2 linked regions of the Elephas maximus indicus genome follow. The main gene of each other region encodes a partner of the protein of the gene in region 2 in a complex. Links are inferred from orthologs where the notes say so. Each region holds a gene or a part of one and is shown on either strand. Other genes may lie near its edges.

Region 1 (8,014 bases), on a different chromosome or scaffold from region 2:
CGGGTCACCAAGGCCCGCCCGGACCCCCAAACATGGGGAGCCCACCCCACTCCGCGCGCCCCCTGGCGCCCGCCCCCGGCACTGCCCGCTCAGCCGTGACGCAGAGGCCACCGCCCTCCGGCCTAGCGCGGCTCGGCCACTCACCTGCGGGGGGCGCCCGGCGGGGCGGGGGCGCACCGGGGCGGGGCAGCAGCAGGGGTTGCCCCCGGGCCAGCCCATCCCGCCGGGGCCCTTGCCGAGCGGGACCAGCAGGAGGAGGGGAGCGGGCGCGCCGCGCTCGGCCGGCCGGGCTCCCTCCCACCCCGCCGCTCCCCGCGGCCACGGCCGCCCTCTCCCTCGCCCCTTTCCTCCCTCCCTCCTTCGCCCCGGCTCCAATCCCCACGTTCCGCCCGCTCCCCGCCCCCTCGGCCTCTCTCCTTTCTCCGTCTTCTCTCCACCTTCTCCCGCGAACGCAGACTCACAAAGAGACAAGAAGCAAGAGGAACGCAGAGACGGTCAGAGGAAGAGTCAGGGAGAGACTCTGACAGGAAGAGACTAAGAGATCGGGAAAAAGATTTTGAGAAAGGCATGGAGAACACAGGGACAGGAAAATTTCAGAGACAGGGAGAAACCCAGAGATGGCAACAGACAGTCGAGGAGAGGCTGACCTGGAGGGACACAGGCAAAAAGAAACACCCGAGCCAGACAGACGCCGAAGGAAAGGTGGACATTGGCCCCGTAGGGAGTAGAATCAAAAGTGCCGAGAACTGCCCGGTCTCTCGCAGCCTGCCCCCTTCACAGGAGCTTGTTTGGCACTGGGCTTGACCCCAAAGCCCCAGCCGGGACCCACCCGCGGCCTGGCCTGGTGAGGCCAGGCCCATCTGCCCACGGGGCGCCAGAATCAGGTGAAGACACCTGGTGTTACTTGTGTGCCAAGTTGCCTGACACCCTTTCCTGGTCCTCTGCCTCACGGGAGACTTTGATGTCACCTATGCCTGCAAAAGGACTCACACCAGAGGACCCCATATTGTGCTCAACCAGTGCCTCCCCACATGCAGCTCCAGTCATCCCAACCATTGCCCTACTTCGGAGCTGGATGGTCATTCCCACTCCTTAGGAGACATCTGTTCAAGAAAGTCTTGCTTATATTTAACTCAAGTCCCAGGCTTCCCCAATGATGATTAAAGTTCCTTCTATAATCTAACCTCATTCCCTTCTTTTGCAGTTTCTGGATCTAGTATTGAATAGGAGCTTCCTGAAATGGAGCTAAATGGGTGCTGAGGGTGGTTTGAATTGTGCCACCCTGGAGGGGAAGTGGGAGGGGAGGGATGAAAGAGGGGATGTCTTCCTAAAAGCTCTGAGCCTACTGCCATGCCCAGATTCCCTAACGTTCTTTAACAGTGAGCACTTCCTGAAACTTCCTCTCTCCCTCACCCTCCCCACTAGAATTTCCATGATGAAAACTGGTAAGGGGGGGCTCAGGGAGGGGGGAAGGTGGATTCTGGATTCTGAGAATTCAGTGCCCAGGGCTCAATGCCCAGTGCCTGCTCAAAGCAGCCAGTGCCCCCAGCGCTAAGACCCTCTTTCCCTCCCTGTCCCATCTTTCAGCTGGGTCTCTTTCTGTCCTCATCTTGCCTCTGGCAGAGGCTGGGAAATATGGTTCCTATTAGAAGGGGGTGGAGCACCTGAGTCCAAGTTGGCGGCAGGGAGGAGACTGAAGCAGAGCATGGTGACAATGTGGGTCCCTCTGAAACCAGCCTTTGGCGGGGGCTGGTGTGGCTGGGATGGAGCCCTGGTGGTGGAGTGGCTCAGCTGTTAACCAAAAAGTCAGCAGTGTGAATCCACCAGCCACTCCTTGGAAACCCTACGGGACAGTTCTACTTTGTCCTGTAGGGTCGCTATGAGTCAGAATCGACTTGACAGCAGTGTTTTTTTTTGGGTGGGGTGGGGTTGGTATGGCTGGGACTGGGAAGCTTTTATTTTACCACTCTTGGCTGAGTTGGTGTCCAGTAAGCAGTTTCAGAGGTTAGATCAGTGAGAGTCACCAGGGTCTGGAGGAAGGGCTGGGGGCTAGGGGTGGTGATGTGGTGGGGTCTTGGAGGGAAGGGGTAGAGACACAGGGAGGAGGCGAGAGGCAGAGTTAAGACAGAGAAGAGTGGCAGAGATTGGAGGCTACTGGGGAAAGGGCAGGACTGAAGGTCATGCTGTGTATTTTGCCAAGATTTGATTACATAAGCAAGATACAGATGATATGATTTCCTTATGTCTTTGGAGCCTACAGCTGGCTCTTAACATCTTGCCCTTCCCAATGTTCATTAGGGTCTTTGGCTGGAGACTAGGATGCATTTCATGTGGGTATTGAGGGAGAGATTGGGACTCGGAGAAGAGGATTGGATCCCAGAGAGGTGGGTAGAGCTAGGACCTCACACATGCCGGTATTGCTGCCTTGACTGATGGGCCCACAAGAGGAACTTCTGAGGTCCTGAGAAGTTGGGGGAGGGCCACAAGACAGGTAGCTGAACTCCCAACTCAAACTTGAATCCTACTCTCAACATGGAGACTAAGGGTTGGGGGAAGGAGGCTGCAGGAAAGAAGCTGATGAGAAGGTTGGGAGTGAAAAATCTTATAGAAGGTGGCTTGGTGGGAGTGAAATAAAAATGGGTGGTAAATGAAGCCCAGCCAGGCACTCTGATTAGCAGCTCAGAACAGTGGGAACTTCAGAAGGGAGGGGGAGAGGAAAGGGAAAGCCAGGAGAATGTTAATGAGGGTGAAACAATTTTAGGGATACCCTCTGACCCTCCCTCCATGTAGGTTTTCTTACCTTGACTATGCAGAAGGCAGCCCATCTTGGCACCAAAGGCTGAACCCCTTCTTCCATAGTCTGGGGTGATCCCATGCCTGTGACTGCGTGTGCTCAGATCCTTGCAGTGGTAGGGGTGCTACAGAAGAGGGACATTGAGGGTGTGGGGGTGTCCTGGCTGGAAAAGCACTGGGTCAGGGGAACTTCGGTGGAGGATTTAGGCGCTGGAAACCAGGAAGAGCGGGGGAAGGGGATGAACTGACTCCAGAGGCGGATCTCCTGGCCCTGAGGACAGAGGGTGTATTGTCCAACCGGGAGGTTGCTGCAGCTGGGCGGGGAGCAGCACAGCCCGACCCTTCCAAACTCCTTTTTGAGGAGTGGGGTGGGTGATGAAAGGCAAGTTCCCCCTTCTTCACTTGTGGCCCTAGGGGCTACAGTGGTTGCTGAGAAACAAGGATATGTGACAAATACAGCTTCCCAGGAGCAGCAGTGCAGCTCTTCCATTTCCTGAGAAACCAGATGCTGTGAGCCTGAGTAGCACTTGAGGCGACGCCCTCAGCACTCACCCAGACCCTCATTGCCTTGTAACGCAGAACACAGTTGTTAGCGTTGGATTGTTTAGGGGACTGGAATACACAGGGAACTCGCCCAGCCTACAGCTGAGATGCTGCACCCATATACCCTTCACCCACCTTCCTGTTTGCTCATGATTTACAGTAAACTGAGAGTGCAAGCTGGCCAGTCCTGGGATCCATTTCTGCTGCTGGGCTTCTAAGAGGACCCACACACCCTGATATAACTGAGGATGTGGGGCACAGCAAAGCCTATAGCTTTTCCTGGAACTTAGGAGTCCCTGGGTAGCACAAATGGTTACCTGAAAGGCTTGTGGTTTACACCCACCCAGAGGCACCTCGGAAGGCCTGATGGTCTGCTTCAGAAGGATCACAGCCATCAAAACCATGGAGCAAAGCTCTACCCTGAACCATACGGGCTGCCATGAATTGACTCAACGGCAACTGGTGGTCCTAGTTCTGGAGTGCCTCGTTCCGTACCTTTTCTGTGCACAACCCACATAAGCCTCTTTAAGTCAGCCTTTCTGCTTTTGTCTGCCTTTTCATCATTATTTACCCAGACCTCACTATTTCACAGGAGGGGAGGGACTTAAACTGGAGGCTTGGAGAATGAAGGTGACCAAGGCCACTTCCTGTGCCGCAGCTGGGCAAACAAGCACTGTTTTATAGGCACCACAGGCAGCCTGAGCAGGGGCACCTTTTCCTCCCTACCTACACCCACACTGAATGGCTTCTGTATCATCACAGCACACTGAGCCTTATCCCTCAACTTGCTGACTTTGGAGAACCAAGATCAGCGCATGAAGAGCAGCTGCTCCAGCTGGCCCTGTGAGGCAGTTTAACTGTGTGCCCCTTCTTCACATCCCTTGGCTCCAAGTCCCCCAAATTGACTGAAGCTTCCTGGGTCTTCTATGCTCCACCCCTCGTGACCTTAAGGACTCTCTGCCACTGTCCTAACTCCTTTTCTACTTTGCAACAATGACCAGTCTGTTCTTCTGTTTGGAAAATTCCTGCTAGGTCTGAGGGATGATCTCAAGCGGCCTCAGTTGTGGTAGCCCAGGCCAGCCTGTCACCCAGAACTTCATCCCACCAGAGCGGGGTAACCCAGCAAAGTAACACCTCTGGACTGAAGTAAGGGCAAGCGTTTGCAGAGGAACTGACCCATGCATGTGAAGATTTACCCTCGGGACATCTCATGCCTGAAAGGTATACTACAGGCAAGCTCAGCTGATACAGTAAAGGTTAACCTGGAGGGGAGCTGGTGTGAGAGTTGTCTTAGGGCTTCAGTAAGCATCAAAATAGATTTCTCTTGTAAATCTACCCTCTGGTTTTGCACAAAACAGATCTAGTGCTGAAGGAGAACTTTAGAGATGGTGGGGATGGAGCAGGCTGGGGTGTCAATGTGAGTTCAGTAAAAAGCAGTGGGAGTGGGGAGCATATGTCAAAGAATTTCTGCATTAAAATGAACTTTAAAGATCAGATTTATTTGGAGAAAACAAAAAAACCCACAACCCAAAGGATGGGGATTTTACATCTCCCAGGTATTAAGTCTACAGATTACAAATCATTTTCATAGAAGATATTTTTGTACAAATTTTACATGTATTCAGGAGCTGGACATAAATCAATCAGTTTCTGCTTTAACAGGAGGGCAGAGCAAGGGAACGGGAAAGAACAGCTCTTTTGGACACAACTATTTGGAAGGAGAGTAGGCATGAAGAGGGTAAACCCTACTTCTCATTATCTACAGCAAATGGTTTTAAAAATAAAAAATTTCAACCTTGTGTCTCTCTCTCTAAAAGCCCATTTCCTAGTTTCTGACCAATCCATGCTCATTACTTAAAGTTAATTTACTTGGTAGAGCTTTCCTGCCCACTGGGTAGATGATTCATTATGCTTAGTGCCACGGCGAACCAACCAACACCCCTGCGTGGCCAACCTAGGGCCCGATGGCAGAAGGGCTTGCAAACAAGAGACCAAGGTGTCATTTCTCTGCAGGTACCACTGGAAGGACACCATCTACCAAGGTGACCCGTACAAAGGCGCATATAAAAGCAGGCAAGTTAAGCTACTGTGTTGTAAGAGAAACCAGGACCTTGTTACAGTTCTGTCATTTATTCTCTCAAGTGAAGCTAAACACGCAGGCATACATGCACACGCACACACACACACACGTCTAGGCCACATTATAAAACACTCGTGTGGGATTATCAGTGGAGAGAAGGAAATGTGTTAAAAAAAAAAAAAATCAAGGTTGTTAAGGCTCTCAATTTAACTGTCCCTATTTATCTACTCTCATTCACCACCAAAGACCATTAATTCTGAGTTTTCTGATCTGTAAAAGGGGTCAAAGTAACAGGAGCAGGCCCGGCTGATGAGAAGGAGTGAGAGAATAAAGACATCAAGGAGCCCATTCGCTTGAGAAAAACAGTGATTCCTCACCTGACAGCTTCCAGAGGCTGAGATACAAAATGCCTAAAATCAGGTATGTGACTTACATAGAAGCTGATTTTCTGGGATGTAACAATAAAGAACAGTGTAAGGAACACTAAGATAATGACAAGTCTAGACCTTTATAAGCTTCAAGGCTGACAGAACGTGGATATACTTGAAGTTTCAGAAAAGAGTGTTTAGAAAGGGCAAAACCAGGACACATATGACCCAGGAATTCCCACAACACCTAAGTGCTTCCTACTCCAGGAAAAAAAACCATTCATGTATTTATCGGAGGTCATACCATTTCCCTATTACCTGGTGCAAAAGAAATACTTGCCAAAGCTTCTTGATTTTCCCATATTTTTGGTCACCAAGCAGTCCTATTCTTTCACAAAGGCCTGTAGACTCACTCCCTACTACCCCCCTGGGGGGTAAAAATGGAAGAATTCCCCCTAGGCTGGCCCCAGGGACTAGCAGCCTCCCAGAGACTAAAACAACCTCAGAGACTATTTAACCTACCTTCCAAGGATGGACAATTTATTGAGATAATGTTTCAGAATTCATATATGCCACAATAGAATAATAAGAATTAAAAGGTAGAACTCTCGCGCTCTCCCTTATACCTGCCCTACCACGGCACTGGGTTTGGGTACTGCCCAGCCAGCTTCCAGACACTGAATCACTGTCATTACCACTTCTGCTAAATGGAGGCCTCTAGACACTAATCACACAGACAACTGCATGGTGTCATAAAATGCACAGCTTTTCCTCTGGAAGCTGCGTCTTTTTCTCTCTGGCGACATTGGTGATTCTCCAGTTAGTTCAATACTTTAAAGGCTGCAGCAGCATGCAAAAGAATTTCATTAAAAAAAAAAAAAAAAGTTAAGAAAGGTCTCCAGGAGATGGTGAGTTTTATTTTGTCGTGTCTGGACAGAGGTTTGATTTGCTCTTGAATGTTCCAGGGTGGAGAGAGACTAGGAGAAAGCACAGGACATAGAGGTCTATTCGGCGTAATCTTCTCCCTCGTTTTCATCTTCACCATCAACTGAGAGAGCAGCATACTTGCTTGCAGAACTGAATTTCTGTAACAGATTAGAGTGAAAATAACAAAGGCCTTGAACTCCCACATCAAAACTCAAGAAAAAGAACACAGATACTTTGGCAAAAGGAGAATGAATGCCCAGATTACAGCCACTTGCTCATTGGCATAACTGTAGTCACACAGCATCTTTTACCTTCATTCCGTGAAGGAGCGAGTGCAGTCAAAGGTACAAAAGGGGAAAACCAATTTATCTACCATCAGTCGCCACCCAAGACCATTCATTCTAGAGTTTTCTGACCTATAAAAGGGGTCAAAGAAACAGCAACAGGCATGGCTGTTTGGAAGGAGTCAGAGTAAAGACATCAAGGAGCCCATCTGCTCTAGAAGAACAGCAATTCCTCATTTGACAGCTCCCAGTGGCCGAGATACGAAATGCCTAAAATCAGGTATGTGGCTTCATGTACTATTTCAAACAAACACCAAAGTCTCATTTCCAACCACTCTACTTGTAGTCCCAAATGTTAAGGAGTCCAATGGCAAAAGTGAAAATATCAAGATCCTTTAAAAGTGGCATTTCAGAATAAGTGTGACCTGAGAGAAATTGAAGCCTTTAACACGTACAGAGGCTGGATTTTCTTCAGGTTTCTTTGGCTCAGGTGCAGATCTAGAGTCTTGATCCTTTTTGCCATCTTTCCTGCAGAGATTAAGCACAAAACCCCATCTTTAGGAGAGGACCCCCCTGACCCCGCAACTCTGAGGCACTGAACAGATACCTCCAATCACCAGTCCTTGCTATCTGGACATTTTACTATTTCTAGATTCTCAGAATTGTACCTATCTTTATTGGCTGACTTTAGTTTGTCCACAGTGAGAGATCTGGCAGTTAATTAGAGAACCAAGAACTTCTTAATTACAAAGACACTTGTATCTAGCACGGGATGAAAGATTCACGAATGACAAGAAAGAGAACATACCTATCAGACTCCTTCCAGTGGTCTCTGTTCCCTCCATCTCCTGGACCACGGCTGGAGTTCCCACTTTGGCCTTTTGGGACACTTAACCCATCTACTTTATTTTCATCTGCTTGAGAGAGAAAACATAAATTGAGGGCAGGTAGAAGACATACTCTCCCTTCTCCTAGGTTTCCCTTAAGCTGAAGAAATGTGTGTCCCTATGTAGTGAAGG
Region 2 (7,934 bases):
TGAATACAAGGATATGAATTAGTCAAACTCTCGTCTAGCCCTGTGTTTCTAAGAAACACCAGTTTAAAATTAATATAATTATTAGCACATGGAGCGATTTTCCTGGCACGAACATGAGATGTGACAGAACGATCACAAAACAAGTTATTCATTTACAGTGCTGGCTAAAGCCACAGTAAATATTTTTAAGAAAACTTGTGCATTTGAGAAAACTGTATTACTTAGTAAACTTGCTTTTTTTTTGAAACCTTGATTTTTTTGTTTCCCACGTAAGTAACACTAGTGGCAGCTTTAAACCTTTTTTTTTTGTTTTTAAGAGGCACTCCAATTTCTGTCTGCGAAGTAGCCTTTTCTCCTGGACACGCTCATACTTCATTTTGCACATTATCTGAGAGCAACACGCTGTGCTGTAGAGATGTCTGGACCATGAATTGGGGGACTGTGTTTCACTGTCCTCTCTTCACTAGCGAGTGGTATGATCTTGGACAGGTCACTTAAGAATGCCATTCCTCAGTCCCCTTGTCAGAAGCCTGAGGGCACTGTTGGAAAAGATGATCTCTTACGTTCTCTCCTTCCCCGAAATTCTCTTCAAGGATTTTATTAAGCTACACTGTAGATAAGTCAGTATATACATATATTTAACATTTATAGATACATCGATCCTTTTTCTCATGGATTGAAAGTTTCAACATGACAAATTGTTAGTGAACGGTTAAAACATATCAATATGTTATTCTAGCATAGATTTTAAGAATAAATTAACTTATCCAGTAAATGGCCACCCTGTACTATGTAAAAGCTCATCATTAAAACATTTGATTTTTTTATGACCCAGCTGTCAAAGTAGCTCTCCAACTTTCATTCAGTGTACTAACAGATGAGTTACTCTAACTGACTCGGTAATGTGCCTGAATCTTTGCTCCCTTTTACACCATTCCATGTTATGTCCAGAAAATAATGGTGTTTATTCTAAATATTTGAAGGTATAAATGTAACAATATGCTATGCATTGGTAGTCCATGCTATTTCAGTAATATAAAGTTTCTTTCCTCATATCTTGCATATTTAACCCTTTAAGGTAGATGTGGTGGCACCATAGTCCTTTAGACATGTAGTTTTATGGTTATATGAAGCATGGATGCTTGATCCATCTTTCATATGATTGTGGAGATTTCCGGCTGTCCTAAAACAGTAATAATGAACGGCATTGTCATTAAGGTTTACTTTCATCTTTCAAAAACATCCACAGAAAATACAACCTGATCAGTGAATTCAGAAAAGGAAATATATAAATTAAATAATAAGTGTGATATTTCAATTTCTGAAACTCAGATGAAATACTAGTTAGGGCAGAAATAAGTTCTGAAATTTCATGCATTTGTTACTTTTTTTTTTTAAGCTCTACACAAACAGCTTGACCTGTAGTTGAAACTGATATGCAGAGATATTGAGGAACCCAATAGTCATAATCGTAAATGCGACACAAATCAGCTGTCTTAGGAGATTCATTATTAAAGCAGTTACCCTACTAATATCTACTCTCCCTGTGGGCAAAAGACGGTTTAAAAAAAAAAAAATGGAATCTATTCACATCTCATCCCTACGTGTTAGAACATATATGCGTTACATTTTATCTCATGTGTTCGAAAAACTGCTCTTATAGCTCAATTAATAAATAAGTTAAGAATAAAAAGGGATCAAAATAAAATCTTACTTTATGGAGGAAAAGAGTAAAATCTATATGGAGGCTGTTTTAGAAATGACATTTTGCTAAAACTATTTGACTCACAGTTTTCTACTTAGTAAACATTTTTCACTTCTGATTTCATGGCTTAACTCAAAAACCTAGGAAGACACCCCTCGGGTCCAAGGTGCTAACATTTATCTCAGTCTTTCCACCTCTCCAACGATTACCTCCAAGTATAAAGACAGAGCCCAGCAGACCTTCTTACCTAGACAACGAGAAGCTGAGACGCCCAGGCAAGACACTGTTCAACACTCGGGCTATGAAAGAAGTCCGTCCCGTTAGTTTCTCCAGAATACAAGTTCACATTTCGTGGTTGAGATCATGGCTCTATTCTAAGCAGTTTTACGCAGTGTGTGATTCTAACCAAAACACCCTCCGCAGCTGGAGGGAGCCTTAGCTAAAGCAGGATTCTGTCAAGGCGTTCCTGGTGACTTCTGTCTACTCAATTCAGACTGATGTTTTGCGAAAGGGGCCTCCACAACCAGGCCCAGATTGCCTGGAAAGTATTTCCTGCCTCTGAGTAGTGTGTATGTGAGAAAGACTGCAGTTGGGGAGGGGAGCGAGAGAGAGCAGAGCCCGGCTGGGCGTTTTAGGAATTCTGATTTTACACAGAACTGAAGTGAGTTTGTCAAAGCTCTTGAGGTGATTAGCTGGAGAGTCATAAAGTCTTAGAGCTTTTTCTAGCCCACGTTGCTGATGAAAGAAAAAAAGAAAGAAAGAAAACACAGTTCTCTTCCCCAGCTACAACCTTTCCACTACATTCAATGCATATACACAGCTTAGCCAAAATACCTTTGCCAGTGCTCCTTTCAAAAGATCTTTTAAGAGAGCAAGATGAATGTAGAGTTTTAATACCGTAATTCTTCTAAATTTTAAAACCCTTTTCCCACTCCTTAAAACTTCAAAGTGCTGCTGCTCTACAGATAGCACCTGAGAAAATCTACAATTCCAAGAACCCAGTAAATCCAACGTTTTCTTCAAGATCTCTCCAATCCCAAATCGCTGTCACGAATCAAAGTGGTTGTGGGTTGTGGCATAAGCAGCTTTACCTCTAGTCAGAATCCTCCAGACTTACACAAATCCAGGGCTGGAAAGGCAGGAGACAGACTCCATCTTGATCATATTAGAATCCTGCTGACATTAAATACTTTGCGACTGCTTCCACCTAACACGACAGAGTCTCTGAATCACGTCTCTAAAGCAGCTCACGGTACCAACACCCTATGCCCGACACGATTTTTGTGAACATCATCTGTTTATCTTTTCTGCTTTCTCGTGCCTCCACTGAATGACTTCCTCCTAGCTGCTCCACGCTGGGAACTTGGACTACCATTTGGTTTTGATTAAAACCAGACAGCCAACTCCGGAGAATTTAGGGAATAAGCTAATGGAAACTGCAAGTATGGCTTTAATTAGTGCATCAATTAATAATAGATGTTAGCTCCTCTTGTAATAAAATGTCACAAATACAAAAGCAGAGGAAGCGTGAGCCGTTTCAGGGAAGAAGTCACAACCATTCTCATTCCCTTATGACCCAGCGTACTCCTTAGGCAAAGTGGAAGGAGAGCAGAGGGACATGGCCTTGGGACATCCAGTTTGTAGAGAGGTCAGTGGGGGGACTTCTTTGTTTAGACCGGAGAAGCGGAGAACAGTGTCTCTGAGTTTAATTATCTTGCTGAGTTTAAATTGCTCTGTAATTTTCCCCTTCTACTTTATTTACAATCAACAGTCTACTGTTATGTATGGCTGAAACATTTTTTTCAGGGATTGGTGATCACCAATCCAATTATTGGGTCTGTCCCTAAATTCCTAGGGATTTTCAATAATAGGAGGGACAAGGACAATTCCAGCTCAAGTATGATAAATGGGTAACACTCAAAGACAGACAAGAAACATTAAACCTATTGGCCCTAAGATCTTTCCTGCACTTCTTTGAAATTTAAGTAGCTTTCATGTTCACTTTTATTCCCAGTTGGCTCTAATTTCTGTAAATGTTGGCAGATATCTGAATAGGACTGAGCCATCTCCTCAGTACACCCTGAGAATGTTGGGTAGGTGATAACTTAAAGAAGTATGGCCTTATAGCTACTACCTCCCTTCTTAATGAATAATTAAATTCTCCCAAAATCAGTGCAGGGCACGGACAACTTTACAGATATGTTAAATGGCAAATAATAATAATGATTTATATGGCACATGAATTTGAAGGTGAGAAGTATTCAAATAAAAACATGACGGCAGAAGCAGTTTCTCAAAGCTTAGACCATAACATCACTGATCAGAAAAATGGCTGTTTAGAGTCCCTTTAACTTTCAAATGTATGCCAAGAAGGAAGTACATTCTTTCATAAATTCTTTGAAGGATTATTTATGTTCATATTCAAAGTACTTCCTCCAACACCATGCCCATTTAATCTTTGCACGCATTCCCATTTTACAGATAAAGAATTATAAATTTGTAGAAGTAATTTTCTTACGGACAAATGATGGAATGTGGCCAAGGTCAGATTGCAACTCAGGTCTTCTACGTTTTGTGCTTCTTTTCCCCCTGTAACAGTTCTGCCTCTCTTGGCTTCTGGCTTAATTGTTGTGTGAAGTTGGGAAGACGTCTTAAACTTTCTGAGTTTCAGATTCTTCTTTAACCATAGGGACAATTCTACATAACTCACAGATTAGAGACAATTAAATTCATATCCACATATATTTACATGTTTGTACTTGTTTTCCTAAGAAAAATACTAGAGTGGCGTGGAATGAGAATTGATGGAACTTCTTCCTAAAATAATTTATGTATCTCTATATTTGTCTCTGGAGCCCCGGTTGCATAGTGGTTAAGAGCTTGGCTGCTAACGAAAGCACAGCAGTTTGAATCCACAAGGTGCTCCCTGGAAACTCTATGGGGCAGTTCGACACTGTCCTATAGGGTTGCTATGAGTTGGACTCTACTCGAGGGTAACGGGTTTTTTTTTTTTTGCCTCTAGTCCTGGTGTATAGTAGGAACTCAATCAATATCAGTCGCCTGCTGATGCTGTTTAGCTAGGTTCTCCTGATGAATAGTATAACCTTTCTCCACTTACACAACTTAGCTTTGTTTCTGTTTATCCTGGTCTGAGGAAACATCAAAACCCTGTTCACATACAGTTATAAAATACCTTTTTTAGATATCCAGATACTCTTTATTAGTCAGTTTCTTTTCTCTAATCAAGGAAGATGCCATGTTTTATTCTACGCTGAGAAGGATTACTTCCTCAATCTTTAATCACTCATTTATTTTTCATCTTTCAGTTGCTTGACTCCAGACAAATCCCAGAACTTACACACTCATAAAGGCTTTACCAAATATGAGTATAAAGATAAATAATGAGATGACTTCCTTAATTCTTATCACAGTGTCAGGCACATGAAAGAGCTCCGAAGTATCTGTCCCCTTCTCCTTTTATTTGTAAATCTAAATACCTTACTCCAGCAAAGGTGTGCCTATTACTCCAAGCCCCATCGGCTAATAAAGTATGCTATCGAGGCAGTTAAGAACTTGAAAACAGAACATCCAGATAGACATCTGGCTCCAGGCTAGCATCCCATGTGACTCTGTGCAAATTTCTTAACCTCTAGAAGCTTCAGTTTTAGCCTGTGTAACTAAGTTTTTTTTTTTTTTTTGCTTTCAAAATTACAGAAGATAGTTACATAAAGCCTTAAGACTTTCTGACTAGTGCAGCGTTCAAGGTTAAAAACAGTTGCCCTTAACCTGATTCCAACTCACGGCTACCCCGTGGGTATCAAAGCAGAGCTGTGCTCCATAGGCTTTTCAAGGACTGATTTCTTCAAAAATGGATCACTGGGGTTTTCTTCCGAGGCACCTCTGAGTGAAATCAAACCTCCAGCCTTTCCGTGAGCACCCGAGAATGTGAACTGCACCACGTAGGGGTGTTTCCGCGGCGGTCAGTGTTAGGTACTATTATTTTTATCATTTAAATAATTGTACATTGTGATCCTGCTCTCTTCTGTGATATTTTTAGTATCTATTTATCTATCTAACTACCCGCCTATTGACCCCTGAGTTGAATGTATACGTGTAGAACAATTTTGCTAGTGGAGCAGTCACATGCTCTGTGGGAAGAGAAGGGACTGGCGTAAGGAAGATTCAGAGTTATTTTGAAGATCAACTGTCTTCTCACGTACCATGATCTAAGCAATAAACACTGTCTGTGATAGTCTAGGAAACCCTGGTGGCGTGGTGGTTAAGTGCTACGGCTGCTAACCGAAAGGCTGGTGGTTCTAATCCAACAGGTGCTCCTTGGAAGCTCTGCGAGGCCGTTCTACTCTGTCCTGTAGGGTTGCTAAGAGTCGGAACCAACTTGACAGCAACGGGTTTGGTTTTGGTTTATGAGAGTCTATCCAGTAATTCCTCAATTATTTTCAGGAAATCTGAATCTGGACTTCTTTAACAGAATTGTTCAATGACTTCAATGCAGTCCAATAATCCTTTGACTGCAAAGTGAGATCAATCTTTGAAAGTGATGTTTTACTCTTTCACAAATTCATCAATAATTTCAGTACCTACATTTGACATTTCCAGTCTCTTCAGTGAAGTAGGCTTCTATTCTTATTCTTTATATTTTTATGATGGGTTAGTTTCATGATAGTAATGAATTTGTAATTAATATGTAGAGAGAACAAAAGCCTTCAAAGCACTTTAGAAATGTCCACGCATGTACAGCTGGTGAAACAAATGTAGGAGGGCTTTGTCTGTGAACATTGATCATCTACAAATTCCTATTTAATGGCACTTAGCTTCTATTTTATTGGAGTTATCACATGTATGTCAAAGCAATAAAAATATAATTCATTTGACAGCATTTCTAGTAATTTTTCAGTAGCTTCAACATGAACTTTCATCCAGTAAGTTGATCTTGATAGGCACACACACAGAGGTAGAAAAAAATGACCATACAACTGTATTGTTTATAGTTAATAATCTGCTTATGTATTATTAGTCTTTCTAATCAACAGTATTAAAGTTTTGACACACCACTTTTTCTAGCCATTTAGTATTCATCTGAGAGTATTTATCAAAGGAACACAATTATGTAAGTTTGATGTTAAACTAACCAAGTTAGCAAAATTACTGAAACTCCCAAAACCAATTATACCTGTTTCTTGGATTATTATATTCCTTGCTTTGCTTCGCGGAAAATTATTACAATCCAGAAATGATTACAAAGAAAAAAAAAAACTTTGATAAATTTCCAATTGCTTTGAAAGAATATACTTAGCAAAAAGAAAAAGAAAAAAATTCTATTCGCAGAAAGTTACTTGAATATATATGACCTTAGAAGCTGATGGCTCTCGCTGCCTGTCCACAACGGCTAGGTTACTCTCAGAAACATGAAGATGACAAGTCATGCAAGGCTGGTTCCATTATCGAGAGGTCTGGGGTGCCCATCTAGTAGAGGGCTAGCTCGTATCGTACAATCATTCTGTATGAAAACTGAAGCTAACATCACCGTATGTCTCACTCCAGTCATATTTGCTAAGCTTTACCATAGTGTTCCCTGACATTCTCATATCATGGCTCGAAAATATTCCTACATCTTTAGTCAACTCAAAAAATGTTCCTCCTCACATTTGGCTTGAGCCCACACTCCGTCTGGCTTCTCCTGTAGCTTTTCAAATGGCGGCTGAATATTCTCTCCTAACCTTGTGCTCACCTGGGAAAACAGGTGAGATTGCCTATGTCCAGACTCCTCAATGCTGGGTCCAGATGCTCTCTCCTCAGTCAGATCTCCGCTCCAACCACATCCCTGCCCTTTGATGGTCATTCTGCCTGTCTCCTTAACAAGTGCTCTATCTACTATAAAGAATGGAGCAGCATTCTCAGCCTATCATCAGAAGGCCACACAGTTGGTACAAAGGCTTATATCCTTGAAAGAATGTCTGTTCCATTTCTGTTAAAATGTAAATATATATTTGTATTTTTCCCTTTAAAATGGAACCACTGGAGACCTTCAGAATACAAAAACATGCTTAGTATCCATTCACACATATACATTGTATAGTTACTGTTCTGAAGGCAATGTTGGTTCAATGATAAGAGTTCTCACCTTCTATGCAGGAGCCCTGGTGATGCAGTGGTTAAGTGCTACAGCTGCTCACCAAAAGGTGGGCAGTTCAAATCACCAGCTGCTCCT

Evidence for each region. The genes of interacting proteins can lie anywhere in the genome.
Region 1: the proteins of DLC1 (region 2) and TNS2 are in contact, whole or in part, in an NMR structure (PDB 2LOZ), measured with the Homo sapiens proteins. The link is inferred for Elephas maximus indicus from reciprocal best matches to the Homo sapiens genes DLC1 and TNS2. Residues at the interface, in NP_001335010.1 of Homo sapiens: Glu811, Asp812, His813, Lys814, Pro815, Gly816, Thr817, Phe818, Pro819, Ala821, Leu822, Thr823, Asn824; in NP_736610.2 of Homo sapiens: Asp1268, Leu1269, Leu1270, Arg1271, Gln1272, Gly1273, Ala1274, Ala1275, Cys1276, Lys1317, Ser1319, Ala1320, Gln1321, Thr1324, Leu1387, Asp1388, Pro1389, Asp1390, Gln1391, Val1403, Leu1404, Leu1405, Gly1406.

The regions. Positions count from the first base shown.
Region 1 is NC_064822.1:108,563,244-108,571,257, reverse strand, and holds the start of TNS2 (tensin-2), read right to left. Parts: upstream 3,014-8,014; 5' UTR 2,876-3,013; coding exon 2,801-2,875; intron 319-2,800; exon of another isoform or gene 220-318; coding exon of another isoform or gene 145-219; intron 1-144. Other genes in the region: EIF4B (eukaryotic translation initiation factor 4B), read right to left, coding at 6,789-6,869, 7,451-7,523, 7,804-7,912. UniProt on the Homo sapiens protein: Tyrosine-protein phosphatase which regulates cell motility, proliferation and muscle-response to insulin. Phosphatase activity is mediated by binding to phosphatidylinositol-3,4,5-triphosphate (PtdIns(3,4,5)P3) via the SH2 domain.
Region 2 is NC_064840.1:73,077,919-73,085,852, forward strand, and holds the start of DLC1 (rho GTPase-activating protein 7), read right to left. Parts: upstream 3,003-7,934; 5' UTR 2,797-3,002; intron 2,356-2,796; exon of another isoform or gene 1,953-2,355; intron 1-1,952. UniProt on the Homo sapiens protein: Functions as a GTPase-activating protein for the small GTPases RHOA, RHOB, RHOC and CDC42, terminating their downstream signaling.